Caenorhabditis elegans: one gene and its partner. The protein of the gene in region 2 interacts with the protein of the main gene of each other region in a pairwise test. Each region holds a gene or a part of one and is shown on either strand. Other genes may lie near its edges.

Region 1 (9,432 bases), on a different chromosome or scaffold from region 2:
CCGAGGGAGGCGACGTTGATCGACGGTTGGGGTGGGCGGTGACTGACCCATCTTTTTTGGACTGACAGCGCAAACCGACACACTCACACACGGCATACACCTTTTTCGCACACATAGTTTTACTCGCATTCGACGTCTGAGTGTGTAAACGAGGCATTCACACTGGTTTCCCACAGTGCCATCGGTTTAGATGTACAGGTAATTTAAAATATAGGTTCGTAGTGTAGTTTTCTATAATTTTTCAAAAATAAGAGGTTATTGCACAGACGTAAAAACATGAAGTGCAAAGCCACATATCTCAATTTAATTGGACAAAAATTTCAAAATTTCCTGATATTTCCAATGATAATCTTTTTTTTTGAGTTTAAAAGACCATATTGTTTCTACTTCGTTAATATTATTTTTCGCCAAACATTGAACATGTTATATTTTGTCAGCTTCCTGGCCTGCAGTGGCATCTACCAACGCTGTCAATTATTATCTATACATCTGGTATTCACTATCCGACAAGGTTAGTTGATCGAGAGCCGACTGAAACTGAAGAGAGCAGTCTATTGACAGTCGGTTACTCGAAATCTTTACTGTCATGGAGGCGCTCTCTTCAGATGATGTCTGGCCCATTTTTTAATCAATTTTGAAGAAACTGGGATTTTGCGGCACGATGAAAATGTGATTTTTATATTTTTTGTTTTACTGAAATAATTTCAAATAATGATGAACATTTTTCAATATTTCAACAAACTTTAACACTACGAGTGTTCCCGTGTTAAGCAAATAGTAAATATATGTAAAAAAAGGTTCAAATAATTTTTAAATCAGTTAACAACACTAGGTATTTTGATTTGGCTTAAATTCAACAGGAAAGTTCACTTATGTAAAGGCAAAAAAATAATTCTATTGACATCAGTCATATAATATGCGGCAAAGGTGTGCGGTAATCGGAAAATTTTGGCAATTGGCATTACCGGTAATTCTTAATCTTCAATATATTTTAAGAAATTTTAAATTCAAATTTGACATAATTTGTCAGCTTGGCATGTATTGAGCCAGTTTTCTACCAATATAATAACTTTATAACAATCTGAGCCTCAAAATTCTATGCACTAGAAATTTGAAAACTTTTTATTTTTTCCATTGCATGATTTTTGAAATTTTTAGCAATCTGCAGCTCGCCCCGGGCATGGGGACTTAAAATATGATAATCAGTTTTCTTGTGATAAAATTTATCGTCAGATGAGACACTTTTTGAAATATTGGCGTCGATTTCTGTGGGCGTCCCAATGCCAAGCAAAAGTTATCACGTTTTAGGTTGTGCTTATTAAAGATCAGGGAATTTTTTTAGAAAAGCAGGGATAGGAGACAAAGTCGGGTCTGTACAATATTGACAATTTGAAATAGATTTTCATAAGCTGTTGTTTTTACACTTTCAAACATGAAACAGTTTTCTCAAAATCATGTTATAAGTTACTATCGAAGATCTATCTTTTGCCAATTACCAACATGTAAACTTTCAAAACTCACATTTAATTCATTCGAAAAGATAATCCTTTGGGCTTCAAAGTTTCTTTATTCTCGTTACAAAGATTCTGAGCAAAATAGCAAAACCCGGTTCCCTTACAGAATTAAGCTATGCGGCGTTAAAAATGACAGTTTCCTGCATAAAAATTTTAATTACTGGAATAAAATAGTACCTTATTTCCCCAAGCCTGTCTCAGAAATTTTGTTCGGAAAACGTCTCGGTCAACTTTTTGTTGACAATGTTTTACCCTCTTCCCCCCCTCATACTTAGTCACCGGACTCTTGCGGGTCCAAATGATTATTTTATATCTAGTTATTCATTCCTTTTTCCTTCACTTCACTGCTTTGTCGTAATTGTGTCATTGTGATTGTTGCCTGATGAATAAATATAAATAAATAAATAAAAATAATTGTATGCATTAAAATAAACAACAATAAAAACGACCGGTGAGGTTATACTTGACAGTGGCTAGGAACCCGAAAAAAATTGAGACTGAGCACTATGAGATACAAGTACAATACAAGATGGGCTGCTTGTTGAAAAAAAAATCACAGGAAAAAACTAGAAGTCGTAAAATTGGTTAGTATGGTAAGAAGAAATGGTATGGTAAAAAAGTGGGTAATAAGGCTGTTATTGGTAGGCGAGCCATTGATCAAAATTAACTGCTGAGAAGTTCCTGTTATGAGATACAAGTACGATACAAGTTGGGCTGCTTGTTGAAAAAAATCACAGAAAAACAACTAGAAATGGTAAAATTGGAAAGAAATGATATGGTACAAAATTGGGTCGTAAGATTGATGTTTGTAGTTGAGCCAATAGTCAAAATTAGTTGCTGGGAGGATCCTTGTCACTGAAATTATAAAGATGTGATATTTAACTATTTTTCCCGCTTACCTCTGATTGTCTGATTTCGGTGAATCAGCCTGGTTCAGATCATCTTCGGGATGATCTATATCGTTGCGACGAGAAGCTTCTCCTTCTGCTTGGCGTGGGAAAGATTGGGCCAGCAAGTCGCTCAATGCGTTGACATTGGCACTGAAAATTATAATTGGTACTTTTTTTATTGGAATACTTTGATGTGCTCGGCTCAGATAAAGAATTAATTGGTACGCGTGTATTATAACCAAACTTTTTTTTAATGCAGCGAGTGCCAAAAAATGCCGAGGCATCGGACTGGATTCCTGTGTGTACCTGGCATCATCTGCTCCTTCGACCGTCGCTGACACTGTTTGATTCTGCACATCCGCCGAGCCTGAGGCTCTGGCGTTTGAGCTGTTGAGAGCAGCAGACCTGGCATTCAAGTTAATAATGGATTGGAGGAAGTTGATGTTCGCTCCGCGATACTGCATTTGCACCATCGTCCGCCAGTAGTCGTAAAGCATCGCCTTTAGTGTTATTGAGAACTTTAGCACTGGAGTCTCACCTAAAATTATTTGAAATCAAAGAATACACATTTTTCCACCTACTGGTTGATGTGCCTGAATCATAATTTGGATCAACTCCAGGAAGTAGGTCGTTGTACAATCGCCTTGCAAATTGCTCAAACTCCAGAGTGTTCAAAAATTCTTCCTCTTGCCTTATCAGATCAGGCAAATGAGGTGCAGGACGTGATGAGCTTTGTTGAACTGGGAACTGTTGATTCCCGGAGCCGTGATTCATAGATGAGTTGGAGGGACCTGCTGTGGAACTTGTTTCAACTTGAGCAATTCCATGAGCCATCAAGAAGCTTTCCTGCAGACTGGGCAACTGAGGTGCAGGGCGTGATGAGCTCTGTCCCATTCGGAACTGTTGATTCCCGGAGCCGTGATTCATAGATGAGTTGGAGGGACCTGCTGTGGAACTTGTTTGAATTTGAGAGAGTCCATGAGCCATCAAGAAGCTTTCCGGCAGATTGGGCAACTGAGGTGCAGGGCGTGATGAGCTTTGTTGAACTGGGAACTGTTGATTCCCGGAGCCGTGATTTATGGAGGAATTGGAGGGACCTGCTGGGGACCTTGTTTCAACTTGACCAATTCCATGAGCCATCAGGAAGCTTTCCGGCAGATTGGGCAACTGAGGTGCAGGGCCTGATGAGCTGTGGTTCATTCGATTCCCGGAGCCGTGATTCATTGCATTGAAAAGACCTGACAGAGAACTCGTTGGAATTTGAGAGTTTGCATGAGCCATCAGGAAATTTTCCGGAAGAGCAGGCAATTGAGGTGCAGAACCTGATGAGCTCTGTCCCATTTGGAACTGTTGATTCCCGGAGCCGTGATTTATAGATGAATTGAATAGACCTGACAGAGAACTCGTTGGAACTTGAGCGTTTGCAGGAGGCATCTGGAAGGTACGATCTCTCGAACGGTTATCCATGTTCATTGCTCGAGTATCTGCATTTTGATTATTTGGCCACAAACCCATGTGTGGAGGAGCTTGAAAGCCGGCATTTGGAAAACCGTATGGCATATTTGAAGTCGGATATCTTCGTGCATGAGCCCTCTGAGCAAGTTCATAATCGTACATGTCTACAAGCCTGGGAACTCCGTGAAGCCTGGGAACACCGTTAGACAAAGGTCTTGGTACGAAATTCATTGGAACGTGGGAATCGCCTTGAGCCATCTGATTACCCATGTTCATTGCTCGAGTATCGGAACTCTGACCATTGACCTCAGGACCAATGTCTGGAGCTTGACCGCCCGTATTTTGTAGACCGTTTGCATTATTTGGAGCCGAATGTCCTTGTATTTGAACCAATCGTGAAGATCTATTGTCTGCCTCTCTTTGGTAATTATATTGCAACCGGAAAATTGGAGCATGTTCTGTTCGTGATTGCGATGACATGGTGGAAGAAGATTCAGAGCGATTTCGATTTCTTGTATCCTGAATCACTGGCTCTTGGAGGCTCGTATTATTGCTCGTTCTCCCATCTCCAATGCTGCCAAATTGATTTTTGACGCGATGTGTGGCCCGGGATGATCTCCGTTGGACAGTCCGGCTTTCGCCTTGAAACGAATTATCAGAAAAACTGTATTCGCGCCACTGATCTACGGATGGTAGATTGATGGAAACGTTACTCCGGTCACCTGCATACTCATCGCGATCAACACCTGAAACAATTTAGCTTATTAATATATGAAGTGCCAAAGAATAAATGAAGTTGTACTTATGTTTCCGATAAATGTTTCATATAAAAAATAAATAGAAATTGGAACCTTATCAATTTGTTATGTTTTGATAACTTATTTTCATTCAATTATTACCCGGTACTTCAGTAAGAAATAAAGAGAGAAAATTTCATACAACATGAATATATGATTCTCCCGACTGTTGAAGTAATGCACTGTGAACGTAGATAATTTTCTAATCAAAGTTTAGATTTGAGGCTCACCTGGAACCTGGTTCTGATGTGAGGGCGCCTGTCCTCCTTGAGACTCGTCTCTCGATTCATATGTCTGTCCACGCCGAGTTGTTGATCGTGGCGGAAAATTGCTTGCATTCCTGTTGTCCGTTTCCTGTGCAATTGTACCACTTTGGTTAGTTCTACTTTGTGTGGACGCGGATGAATCGGATTGAACGGTTGGATCATCGGCAAGAGACGTGTTTCCAGAGAAGCACAGCCAAAAATTCTCCAAATTATTTGAGCCATTGTACATGTCTGTCCAATAAAGTTGCTGCTGGTTGTGAACTGCACCTGTAACAAACCGGTTTAATAAATATAGTGAATCTAAATTTATTTTTTTTTACCTCCAATACTACGCATGTTGGTCGAAGAAACTGATTCATCACGATTCCCGACTCTCGCTCTTTCTTGGGACTGTTCGCGACGGTGATCTCCGGGTGGTGGGAGATTCTCATCCGATGAAAGATCATCACAATTTTCCATTGCCGCGCAACAAATGGAAACCTAAAAATTGAAAAATTGTAGAAAAATGTTAAGAAAAAAGAAAAAAAAGAGATTTCGCAACAACTGCAGATGAAACAGAGAGCGGACCACTGTCCACGTGTAATGGAACGAAGACTGAATGGAGTGCCTCGGAAGGAAAAGTGAGAGGGAAGAGACGCAGCAAGTGCGTGACGGAACTGTGACGATGGATATGATGAAAACAGTGCACACGCGAATTATTGATTTTACCATTGTAAACTGGAACAGATAAAAATGGAACGGTTCTTATTTATGCATGATTTTTTTCTTTGAATTTGAAAACCTAAGTTAGCTGTGAAAGGGCGAATGTGATCGTTTGAAATTTCTCAGAAACCTTATGAAATTCTGGCGTTTGAGAGTTTAAAGTATGCAGAAATTAGAGTTGTAGGGATTTCAAGAAAAAATTGCATAGTTCAGAGTTTCTCAAAATAAAATTCTCTGAAGTCTTATTGGTGTGCAATTTTCTGCTGTTGAACTATTTAAAACAGTGCTGGCCAATACTCGCTTTCAATTTTTCGGCGACTATTTAGACTTTTCCAATAAGTATGCTCCAAAAGCTATACGTTTCAGCAAGAAACTTTTAACTAAAAAAGTGATCCACACGTTTTTATCTACTTAACCTAGTTAAATACGAGCATTCGTTGATCAAATGAGGTCTTAGGTTGATCACTTGAAAAATATAAAAATGCACCGAATCAAGCCACATCATAATTGAACTTTACAAGTTTGTCCTACCATTAAACCTGAACTCGTTTTCTCAATATCTTCATCATGTGAAAAACGGTATGACTTTTAAAATAAACCAAAATAATTCAATGGGTATTTGTTTTTGAAAGATATATGTTTGGATTAGTAATTTCCAGTTTTTACAACAAATTTCAAACATTTAGAACAAAATATTTTTATCGAAATAAACAACAATAGTCGGTGAAATTGTACTGGACAGTGACTGGAAAACCGGTAAGACTGAAACTGAGCACTATGAGATACAAGTACAATACAAGATGGTTGAAGAAAATCACAGGAAAAAGAATTTCTAATCGTGAAATTGGTTAGTGTGGTAGAAATAGAGAGTGTTATGGTACAAAATTGGGTAATAAGATTGATGTTGGCAGGCGAGCCAAAAGTCAAAATTAGTTGCTGGGAGGTTTCTACTATGAGATACAAATACAGCACAAGATGGGTTGATGGTTGATGAAAATCACAGGAAAATATAATTTGTAATTGTGAAATTGGTTAGTATGGTAAAAATAGAATTGTTATGGTACAAAATGGCAGCACAGTAAGTGTGTTCTTGTAGGCGAACCAATTGTCCAACGTCTCATTCATTGCTTGGCAATTCCTTGTCACTGAAAAAAAAATTGCTTGTTATTTATATAAGTTCACAAGTCTCACCTTTGCTTGTCCGATTCTTGTGGCTCAGCTTGTTTCAAATCACTTTCAGAATGAACATTCTTGGTGCAATCAGGAGCTTCGTCATCTTGTTGGTGGAGGAAGGATTGAGACATGTAGCCTTTCACAGAGCTGGCAATATCACTGAAAAGAAATAATAGTACATCGGAATTCGTTTATTATGGTTAACATACCTTGAAGTGCTTGGCTCAGGCGAAAAGTTGATCTTTTCATCAAGCATACGAACAAAATTATCCATGTCCATTGTGCTTCGCTTTTTGATGCCACTGTATCTAATCATCTTCTCAAAGGATGGTGTTTTGGGCTTAGTTGAAGCTGCTGGAACTGGCCCGGCATGACTTTGTGAAGAATCCAAATTCTCATCAAGTGTCTCCAAGGTATTATCAAGACTGGCAGCGGGACGAATGTACATGGATCGGCTTTTGGATGGCTGTGAAGTCGAAGCATCCTCTCTGAAAAAAGTAGGATAGAAAACAAACAACAGGCAGAGTATGCACCTGGCAACATCCGAAACCTCAGCCGCAGTTGGAAGAGTTTGATTGAGAACATCCGATGAGTTTGAGGCTTTGGCAACTGAACTGTTGAGAGCAGCAAACTTGGCGTTGAAATCAATAATCCACTGAATAATGTTGATGTTGGCTCCACGATTCTGCATTTGCATCGTCTTCCGCCAGTAGTCGTAGAGCATCGGCTTCAGTGTTTTTGCCAGCTTCAGCAACTGATGCTTGGGAGCGTCACCTAAAATGATTTTAAATCACATAAACACACAAATTCCACTTACTGAAAGTGTCTGCAGCACCATTTGGAAGGATTCCCGGAAGCAAGTAGTTGTACAATTGTCTTCCAAATTGTTCAAAATCTGGAGTCTCCAAGAAAGCTTCCTCTTCCTTTGTCAGAGTTGGCAAATGGGGTGCAGGGCGTGATGGGCGTTGATCCACGTGGTTGTATTGGTTCCTCGAGCTGTGATTCATAGAAGTGTTGGAGTGAGCTGGTCTGGAACTCATTGTAACTTGAGAGCTCCCTTGCGCCATCTGGAAGCTTTCCGACAGATTAGGCAACTGAGGTGCAGGGCCTGATGAGCTTTGATTCATTTGGAACTGTTGATTCCCGGAGCCGTGATTCATGGATAAATTAAATAGACCTGGCAGAGAACTCATTGGAACTTGAGCGTTTGTATGTGGCATCTGGAAGGTATGATCTCTTAAACGGTTATTCATATTCATCGCTTGAGGATCTGCATTTTGAGTATTCGGCCGATGAGCTATTTGTGGAGCTGGAAAACCGGCATTTTGAAGACCGTAAGCTATATTTGGAGCCGGATATCCTCGTCCTTGAGCCATTTGTGAAGACTGATTGTATTGGTCGAGGAGTGCCTGATTGTATTGGTCAAGGAGTGTTGGTGCTAATGACTGGTTCAGTGCAGAATAGCTTTGGTTGTGTCCCATGGCAGTAGGTGCTCTCTGCTCCAAGAAATTGCCGTTCGCGACATCAGCGGCCAGTCTTATCCCGGTTCCAACAGCGTTTTGTCCAGTGGATCCCAAACCAGTGTAAATTCCAGTGTGATCGGAAAGAACTCGATGATCTTGGTCTCCTCCTCGCAAGTTGCCAAAAACGCTAAACGAAGTGTTCAGGTTATTTCCAACTGCTGAACCATTCAGGAAACTCGCATTCCTATTGTCCCTTTCCTGCACAATTGTATCAAAATGGTTAACTCTTTGTTGTGCCAACGCAGAGAAATTGGAGAGAACATTTGGATCATCGGCAAGAGACGTGTTTCCAGAGAAGCACACCCAAGAATTCTCAACATTATTTGAGCCATTGAGCATGTTTGTCCAATGACGTTGCTGCTGGTTTTGAGCTGAGCCTGAAAAAAAACCAGTTTAATAAATCTATTGAATTTTAATTTTTTTTTACCTCCAATACTACGCATGTTGCCCGAAGAAAACGGTCCGTGATGATTCCCGATTCTCATTCCTTCTTGGGACTGCTCACGTCGGTGATATCCTTGCGGTGGGAAATTCCCATTTGAAGAAAAATGACCACGATTATCCATCGCCGCTCAAGAAATCAATCTCTAAAAATGGAATTATTGTGGAAAAATTACAAGAATTTGGCTAAAAACAAAAAAAAAATTCAACAGAAAATAAAAGATTTCGCAATAACTGCAGATGAAAAAGAGAGCGGACCACTGTCCACCAGTAATGGTACGAAGACTGAATGAAATGATATGAAATGAGAGAAGAGAGGGAAGAGACGCGCAGCATGACGAAACGTGGCGGCGCGCAGACAAAACAATACAAAAAAGAGCGGGCAGGTGTAGGTCAAAACAAATTTTGTGTGGATCTACTATTTTGCTCTTTAAGAATCACGCTAGAAATACGCAAATAAAACTTTGAATTTGGACAATAAATGAGAAAAAAAGTACTATAAAAATTTTTGTCCATTCTCGTAAATTAATAGATAAATCGGGAAGCACCTTTGCACGAAAGACTGATAAAGATAAAGAATAAAAAAGCAAACAATTATTTTTATATTTTGATTAAAACTAAAAAAAAACCTTTTAATGATTTTTGTCTAAAAGTCAGAAAACTTATCAATG
Region 2 (8,142 bases):
ATCCAAGTTTGGCACGCTTTGAAGTTTTCCACATGGGTTTCTTTTTTATTGATATCGAGCGCAATCATTTTCAAGTCACGGTCATGTAGACAGATTCCTAAAAAGTTGAAATGAAATAGCTGCTTTCAATTTAAATTTACCTGAATCCAGTCTCCCTTTGACTTCCTCATAGAGTCGCTCTCCGAGGAACTTCAGCAGATTTCTTCGGCTTTCCTTGAAGTTATCTCTATCTTTTTCATATAACTTCAATTTGTCCATATCGTGTCTTCCAGTGATCCAACGAAATCGATTTCTCATAGCTTCCAGAGTTCGTTTCCCAGCTTTCGCACTACGGTAGTAATCGAGAGCTGTATTAGCTTCCTCGCGCGTGACCACTCTGCCTCCAAACACCAATTCAGTAGGAGACGAAAAGATGACTCCATCGTTAGGCTGCAAAATGTCGAAAAAAGGTTTCAGCTTTTGGAAATTTAGACTAGATTCGTTTATCCAACATGCTCAAATATCATCATGAAACACTAATGGAATCTATTTAAAAATTTTTAGTCAAAGTTTTGGCAAATTGCCAAACGTTCGGTAAATAACCAAATGTTCCAAAAGTGTGAGTTTTTGAGTGATTTCGAGCATTTGGTTCAAATTTGAACCTTGTCTACTTTCAAAATTAGGATAGGTGAACATTAGGTATATAGCACTTTTTGGCTGTAAATAAAATCAATTTTAAATATTTTTTATTCACAGTCAAAATATGATACTTGGACATTTTAGAACTATAAAATTTTTTTAATGTTTCACTGACTTATAATTACGTACCTCAAATTCTATTGAATCCCAATCACTGAAAGTCTCGTCAGCAACTTCGTCGCGCTCTTCAACATCAATATCGTGATCCACAGCCAGTTTGAGGATATTAACCAAATGACCGGCAAGCTTCGTTTCTTCTCTTGTACAAATTGGGTTGTCGGGTAGAGGATCCGGGAATTTTTGGTGCAGCAAAAAGAGGACGTTGGAAATGTTCAAAGACATTACGAATACGGAATAAAATAATGGAATAACTCACAATTTTGGAAATAAATATAAAGTAAAATTCAAAAAATCCCGCAAACTCTGTTTTTTCGCGGTTCAACATTTCGAACCTCGAAAAATTAATTAGGTCTGAAAAAGTTGAATTGTAGTACCTGATTGCGCCCATGATGCGGCGACAACTAACGATTGTTCAATATGTTTCTGATAACTTGGTTGTTATCTTATCTGAAGGTAATAGCTGAAAAACTTACCAAAATTAAAACTGTTCTACACTACATAACCCTTTTCAACAAAAAAATTTTTTTTTTTTTTGGAAAAAATCTTCATACCACAGATGGAGAAAAAGTTGAAATTTTCAAAAAAATTAAATTTTCCAAAAAGTTTCCACATGACTTTCATGCTTTCCAGGAACCAAAAAATTTATGCTGAACCTATTTAAAAACGAAATTAACCGCGTTTTTGTGGATAATTTATGCTCGAGAAAAAATTCAAAAAAAATTACACCTAGTGGGGGACGAACCTGTGACGTCTGGATTAATGAACGCAAGTGTTCACCAATCGGCTATTCGAACGGTGGCTGCAGTGCAAAACGTTTGTGTAGCCAATTCTACACACTTAAAATGGGATTTTCAGCAAAAAAAGCACTAATTTTTAAGGCCAAAAATTTCAGCTTTGGGACCGAGTTAAGCAGATTCCAAAAACTGATTCTTGTAGCCATAGATCTGATCTTCCATTTTCACTTTGTTTTGTCCTCCTAGCAATTGCAGGGGTAACACCATTCCCTAGTTAGTTTATGTCGACGATCGATTTTTTTTTCAGAATTTTTGAAAAAACCGAAAAATGAAAAAAATGTTTTCTTTTTCTAATTTCCAAAAAAATTTTTTTTTGTCAATTTTCGTATCGATTGTTCTATTTAAAAAATCGGAAATTTTTGTTTTTCGATAATTGCATTTTTATCGAAAAATTTTCTCTAGTTTGAAAATGAGGGCTTTTGCTGTTTTGAAGTCTTATATATTTTTTGATGTTTTTTCTCATCAATATATTCAAAAATCGATGAAATATCGACATTTTTTCGATTTTGTCAGAAAAAAATCGAAAATCTTCAAATACCCCGGCAAAAAGAACCCGAAGTGAGTCGGTCGGTACTGTCCACGAAGCGATAGCGTCACACCAAAAGATGAAATCATTGAGAACTCCGACGGGATTCATGTTGATCATATTGCATAAACCGATGAACGCGCTCTCTTTTTCCGCGTTATCCTTAATATTTCGAAGTGAGTAGCAGCAAGGGCGAACGAATCGGCTGATATGGGGAGCCAGCTCTTCACCGCAACATTGTCCGAGACGGCCGATTGTGATGGCTGTAAATTTAAATACCTAGTTTCCAAGCTTTTACTATTTTTAGATATTCACCAGTATTCTCCAACAACGTCCGCTGCATATTCTGCTGGCTATTGATGACAACAATCAGAGGTTCAATGATGGGCCCGATGAACTGTTTCATTGCGGGACCCATTTTCAGCGCCAACTCTCCGAGCGCCCAAATCGCATTGTTGCACACACTGATCTTGGAGGGATCCAGGTTTTGGGCGAGAAAAAATATGAAATTGCCTGCAAATTGTAAGATTTCTGAAAATGTTTATCAAATCTGTAGACGCGGGAGCTACTTACTACTCTGTGGGAGCACTCGTTCTGGACACGCTTTCGTCAAATCTCCGAGTAACGCGAAGCACGATTGTCTGACGTCTGGCGTCACATCTAACGAGCAGAACAACATCAACTCGACCAGCTTGCTGTTTGCCACCAAGGGATCCATATGTTCCGGTAACGACTCAGCGAGTCCCGAGAGGAGATCAAGCGCCACAATGATAAAGTCCGTTTCGGGAGCTTCTACTTGATCCGGAGCCATAATGTGTTGTTGGTTTTGTTGAACACACTTTTCGATGAGACTACAGCACCTTGTGAATACCGGTTGAATGTATGGAAGGAAGGATTGTCCCATTGCTGTAAAAAGTATGAAGTCGAAACTATCTTATAATTAGTTATTTCTTTTACCAACCTGAAACAATTGCAGAAATACATTCCAAAAGTGGGAACAACTCCTTGTCCTCGTCACTCAACCGCTCCCACTTCTCCATCAACGGCGGCATGAGCATTTGCACATAAACCGGATGACTTAACGCGTCGCCCACAGAATTCGCTAGTGTTCCGATGGCATCGTACAAAATCAGAAGATTCTTTGCCTGATAGCACTGGAACGCCTTGACCAGTTGATCGAGGATCTCGCCAAGGAATGGAATGAGCTGCTCGCCAGCTTCTTCTTCGAGAGTTGCGAACGCAGAGCATGCAGCTTCTTGAACTTTCTTGTTTCCGTCGAGCGAACAGCGGAGAAGCTGAAAATTAATTTGTTTTTCTCAATTTAGTACATTACTTGCGTTCAACTAGAATTTAACTGAAAGAGTACCCCATTTTAAATCTTTTAAAACAATTTTGCAAATTAAGTCTAGTTTTTTTTTAAACTTTTTTTGAAGCACTACGAGGTTTTTTATATATTCTAAATTCTCACATTGGCGAGCACATCCTTGAAAAACTGTTGCCTGAAGTTCTCGTCGGATGCAATATGCGAACTATATCTGGACAGCGTCCAGCACGTGATCGATCGAACGAGTGGCTTCTTGTCAAACATCATAGCCAGCATGAATGGTATGAGCTCGCCAAGGTGTGGCACAACGCCGTCCATGCATCCCTCCGCGATTGCCCCGAGCGCAAGTATTCCAGACTCTTTGACCAGCCAGTTGTCATTCATCAATGTGTCCTTGAGGAGGGGGAAGAGCTTATCCAACAGATCCTTTCCAAAAATAGAAGCCAGAACATCTAAAGATGCTGCTGAACACCTTCTGATATTCCAGTCGCCACCACCATCGTCATCATCGTCCTCGTCTTCCTCATCATCCGACTCCACAAGGCCACCAAGACCATGCTGCTTCGACTTATGAAACCTAGGCTTGATATCCTCCTCTCTATCAGGAACCGAACTATCTTCATCATTAGCTTTCAACGCAGGATCTGTCTCAGAATATCGCATGGAGCCAAGCAGAACTGGTATGAGCTTATCGAGATGTGGAAGCACCATTGTTCGGCAAATATCACTATTCTCAGCAATTGAAAGCCAAAACTCGCAGGCCTCTAAGGCAATCGACTCGTTGTGATCTTGAGTCTTCTTAATAATATATTCTATGACATTCGGCAAATGAGGCATCATTTTCTCGATGTGTGTGTCCAGCAGAAGCGTCAGCGATCTACATAACTGTTTTTGCACCTCCTCATCATTGTCATTGTGGCGAGCGAAAAGCGAAGTAAGAAATTGATCTATTGCAAAATCAATTGGATCATTATTAACCATTAGAATGCAATTCACACAATTCATTGCAAGAGCCCGCATCTTCGCAGCATGATGCTCATAGAAAACAAGAAGCTTCGGCATGATTGGCCGAAGAAATTCCGACTCATACCGATCCGCCGAGTCTTCGAAAACCTTCTGAAGTGCTCCAAGAGCGCCTTCTTGCATCAGCTCGTCGGGTTGCATCAGAACTGTGGCCAGAGTGTCTAGAAGGTCCGGCCAATCGCACATATTCTCCTCCATAACGATAGTCGTGACAATGATACCTACTGTCGCACGAATCAGTGGCTCTTGATCGCCTATACTTTTCAAACATGTTGTCCTGACGAAAAACTTCACGTCCTGCGGATACTTATTCCATTTTGCTCGAATATTATTTTTAAGCAACAAGCCGGCCAGCGATCGACTCGTCGCGTCAATCATCTCCTTCATGTCGCTCAGTATGTAAACCAGATAACAACAGAACTTCTGATGCTCATTGAGCTGTACCAATTGCACTTGAACATTACGTTGAACATCTCTGTCTGTGGAGTGAGCGTGTTGTAAGAGTTGAATTACCTGAAAACTCGGATTTTGCGAAATAATCGATTTTTTAACGACGCTCACCTGCTCTAATTCGTGTTGGTCTGGTTGGAAAGCCATTTTGATTCGTCGGCATAAAGCTCCAAATTGTTCTGAAAAAAGAAACACATTAAAATCGTAAATTTAAACTTCTTAACGAGCAATTAATTAAGATTTTACGGATTGATGTCAAGAATGCAGTAATTTCTGCAGAATTGAAATTTGTGTTCAAAATATCAACCATATTGATATTTTAAATAAAATGGAGATAAATCCTGCAGCCAGAAGCAAAAATCGATGAGGACGCGTTCTCTGAATTGCTGAGAAGGGGAGAAATTGTGTTTTGCCGGCAGAAAAGAGCACTGCGGGTGGACGGAAAAGACGCCAAACCGAATACGCGCCAGCATTCACAAGGGAAATTTGAAAATAATTGTTTTATATTTTGTAACAAATATGGGGAACGTATTTATCATGATCATGGGAAAAAAATATGACAAATGTTTCAAAGCTAGAATTTCGCTGCGAGACCCGTAACCTGTAAGCCATGTTCCTTTAACTTTTGATTACTGTAGTAGGCACCTTTTGATATAAAAAATTCCCGTGTTCGAAGTTATTTAATAAAAAAATTAAAAAAGTTAACTTAAAGCTTAAAATGTTTATTTGACAAATAAAAAATGAATAAAACACGTTCATTTGGAGAAGTGTTATTTAACCAGTTTTTGTAATGAACGGGAGATCCATTTAGAGAACAACAAATTGAACACAATTGTACTAGAGGAAAGGAATGGAAAATCCATAAATGTTGAGAAAAATTGAAAAGAAGAATAGAAAAAAATGTTAAACAGTTATTTATGACTAGGGCGAGGGGTAAGGAATGAGAGAAGCCCATTAACTGTGAGAGAAATTGAATGGGAAAAAGAAAAAAACAGAACTTCAAAATCTATTTAATTGGTTGGCCCAAAATCAGCCTCAATGAGCGCTTCCCGGATGGCTTCTGTGCGCACTTCGAGAACCTTCTCGTTCTCGACGTTGCCGAGAACCTCTTCCACAATGGATTCCTTCTGTTCCAGAAGAACTTCACGAGAGATTCCTGTGAATTTGGTCTCAATCGCCTTGATAATTGTGCCGATTGTAACGGTCTTCGCTGTGGACTTCTGGAAAAAAAAAACCCGATAAAATTTCTATTATTTCTTTTTTTCTTACGTCAGTCCAATTTTCCTGATTTCCAAAAGCTTTCTCCAACGCTTCGTGTATCAATTCCAAATCTTTATCGTCGGCATCGTCCAAGACTTGCTGAACGACTTGCGAGTTCAGAGCATCATAATCCACCAAAATTGGAGAAATCTCGGCCGGCTTTAAACCATTGGAGGCGCTGTGGGATAGGCGATTTGGTATCATAGGAACCTTGAACACTGGCTCAGCTGATCGTGGGATGTCGGAATATGACTTCTGAAAAAAAAAACTTTAAATCAGTATTTTAAAATCATCATCCAAGTGAATTCAGGTTAAAATTACCTCCATTTTCACCCTGCACGAATTTGGAAGCAGCTCATCAAAGCTAGAAGACTCTGGAATCGTTGAGTCGGATTGTGATGTAAAAACGTCTCGAGATCCTTGACCGGCTTCAGACGGCACGAGCGCAGCGGCAGCTGGCTCGGCTGATGACACTGGCTCAGATGATGATGAGACGTCGGAGGACGATTTCTGAAAAAAAAAACAATTGAATTCAGTCTTTAAGATTATAATTCAAGTGTAAAATTACCTCCATTCCCACCCTGGAGAAATTTTGAAGCGACTCAGAGAGCAAGATCACAGCAGCAGCTGCACCTTCGAGAACGGTAGTCTCGTTTGTACTCTCGGTGATAGATTTCTGGAGATTGTTCACAGCATCCGTCATTTTGTTAGACAATTCGTCGACGTCCATTGCTTCTTTCTTAGAAGCAACCGATGTATCGAGATTTTCATCCATCATCTGCTCATCTGATTCTAGTGGAATCGTTTCATCCAGATCTTCATCGTCATCCTCAACATCCATGGCCTCGTGCTCAGGAGCTTCTTCCGCTTTTCCGTCTTTCTCAACCACTTCTTGTTTTACATCCGCATCGCCATCATCAACATCAATGGCCTCTATCTCACGAGCTTCTTCCGATTTTTTGTCCTTCTCAACCACTTCTCCCTTCACAACCGCATCCAAGAGCCTATAAGAAATCAAGCTACGGTCTGTGCCAACACGGAGCTTCACGTTAAACTTTCGCTCGATGCTGAAAAGGATTATTTATACGATGGATTATGAACGATATCTTAACTTACAGCTTCTCAGCCTCCTCATCAATTTCAATATCAATATGCTTGAGAAGATAGAGAATTGTTCTCTTGTGAAGTGGCATTTCGTGGAGTGCTGGGCACATGATCTTTCGAAAGTGCGAACTCCAATTGGTTGCAGATTTCGACGATCGTGAGACTTTGACAAAATCTCTCCAGAACGCGATTCCCTTTGGCATCAACTGGACACCTTCCTTCTTTGCCTCGACAATCTTCTCATGGACGAACTTCCATGCACACATATGATCGTCGAGTGTGAATTTTTCTCGCTTCTGAATCTTTTTCGGCGCATACGTTTCACGTACATTAGCTGACTGTGATCGATGGCTTGAAGGTCCTGGTTGATCCGTGGAAGCTCTTGAACGGAAATATGAAGATGTTGGATCCGAAACGACTTGAATCGGAGATGGTGGACGAATATCGTCGTGAAATACCATAAGACTGGGAGATCTGAAATAATTATAATTAAACTTAAAAAATGATATTTTCCAATACCTGTTCCTCATCGGAGTTCTTGGGGTCCAGGTAAGAATTTTGCTACGTGGAGCTGGCTGGTCTCGCACAATATCCCAGCTGACTACATATCCGTCGAGTGACAAAGCCACATCAAGCCGATCATTGTCGAGAATCCATTTACGCTGATGATAGCTCAATGGCACCGACAAGTCTTTTAATATCTGCAGTTTCGCATCCGGATCCATCGCCTGCTTCCAAAGGTTCTCGAGCATCATTTCGTTGAAATGGTGGAGCACAATGTGAGCCGACTTGATGGGAATATTCGGTTGTGATTGGAGCAGCTCGGCCCAAAATTGTTCAGTCATCAAAAATTTTCCGGTTAG

What was found.
Region 1: the proteins of imb-2 (region 2) and meg-2 interact in a two-hybrid assay, tested with the Caenorhabditis elegans proteins (one large-scale study listed by BioGRID).

Annotation. Positions count from the first base shown.
Region 1 is NC_003284.9:13,920,728-13,930,159, forward strand, and holds meg-2 (Protein meg-2), read right to left. Parts: upstream 5,403-9,432; 5' UTR 5,382-5,402; coding exon 5,243-5,381; intron 5,190-5,242; coding exon 4,887-5,189; intron 4,606-4,886; coding exon 2,986-4,605; intron 2,943-2,985; coding exon 2,711-2,942; intron 2,555-2,710; coding exon 2,414-2,554; intron 2,370-2,413; coding exon 2,345-2,369; 3' UTR 1,916-2,344; downstream 1-1,915. Other genes in the region: Protein meg-1, read right to left, coding at 6,742-6,769, 6,816-6,956, 7,007-7,285, 7,331-7,571, 7,615-8,697, 8,748-8,886.
Region 2 is NC_003280.10:14,362,659-14,370,800, reverse strand, and holds the start of imb-2 (Importin N-terminal domain-containing protein), read right to left. Parts: upstream 5,101-8,142; 5' UTR 5,063-5,100; coding exon 5,027-5,062; intron 4,979-5,026; coding exon 3,587-4,978; intron 3,414-3,586; coding exon 3,080-3,413; intron 3,025-3,079; coding exon 2,692-3,024; intron 2,650-2,691; coding exon 2,434-2,649; intron 2,382-2,433; coding exon 2,131-2,381; intron 1-2,130. Other genes in the region: tebp-1 (SPK domain-containing protein), read right to left, coding at 5,926-6,135, 6,185-6,430, 6,497-6,685, 6,744-7,242, 7,292-7,753, 7,799-8,142.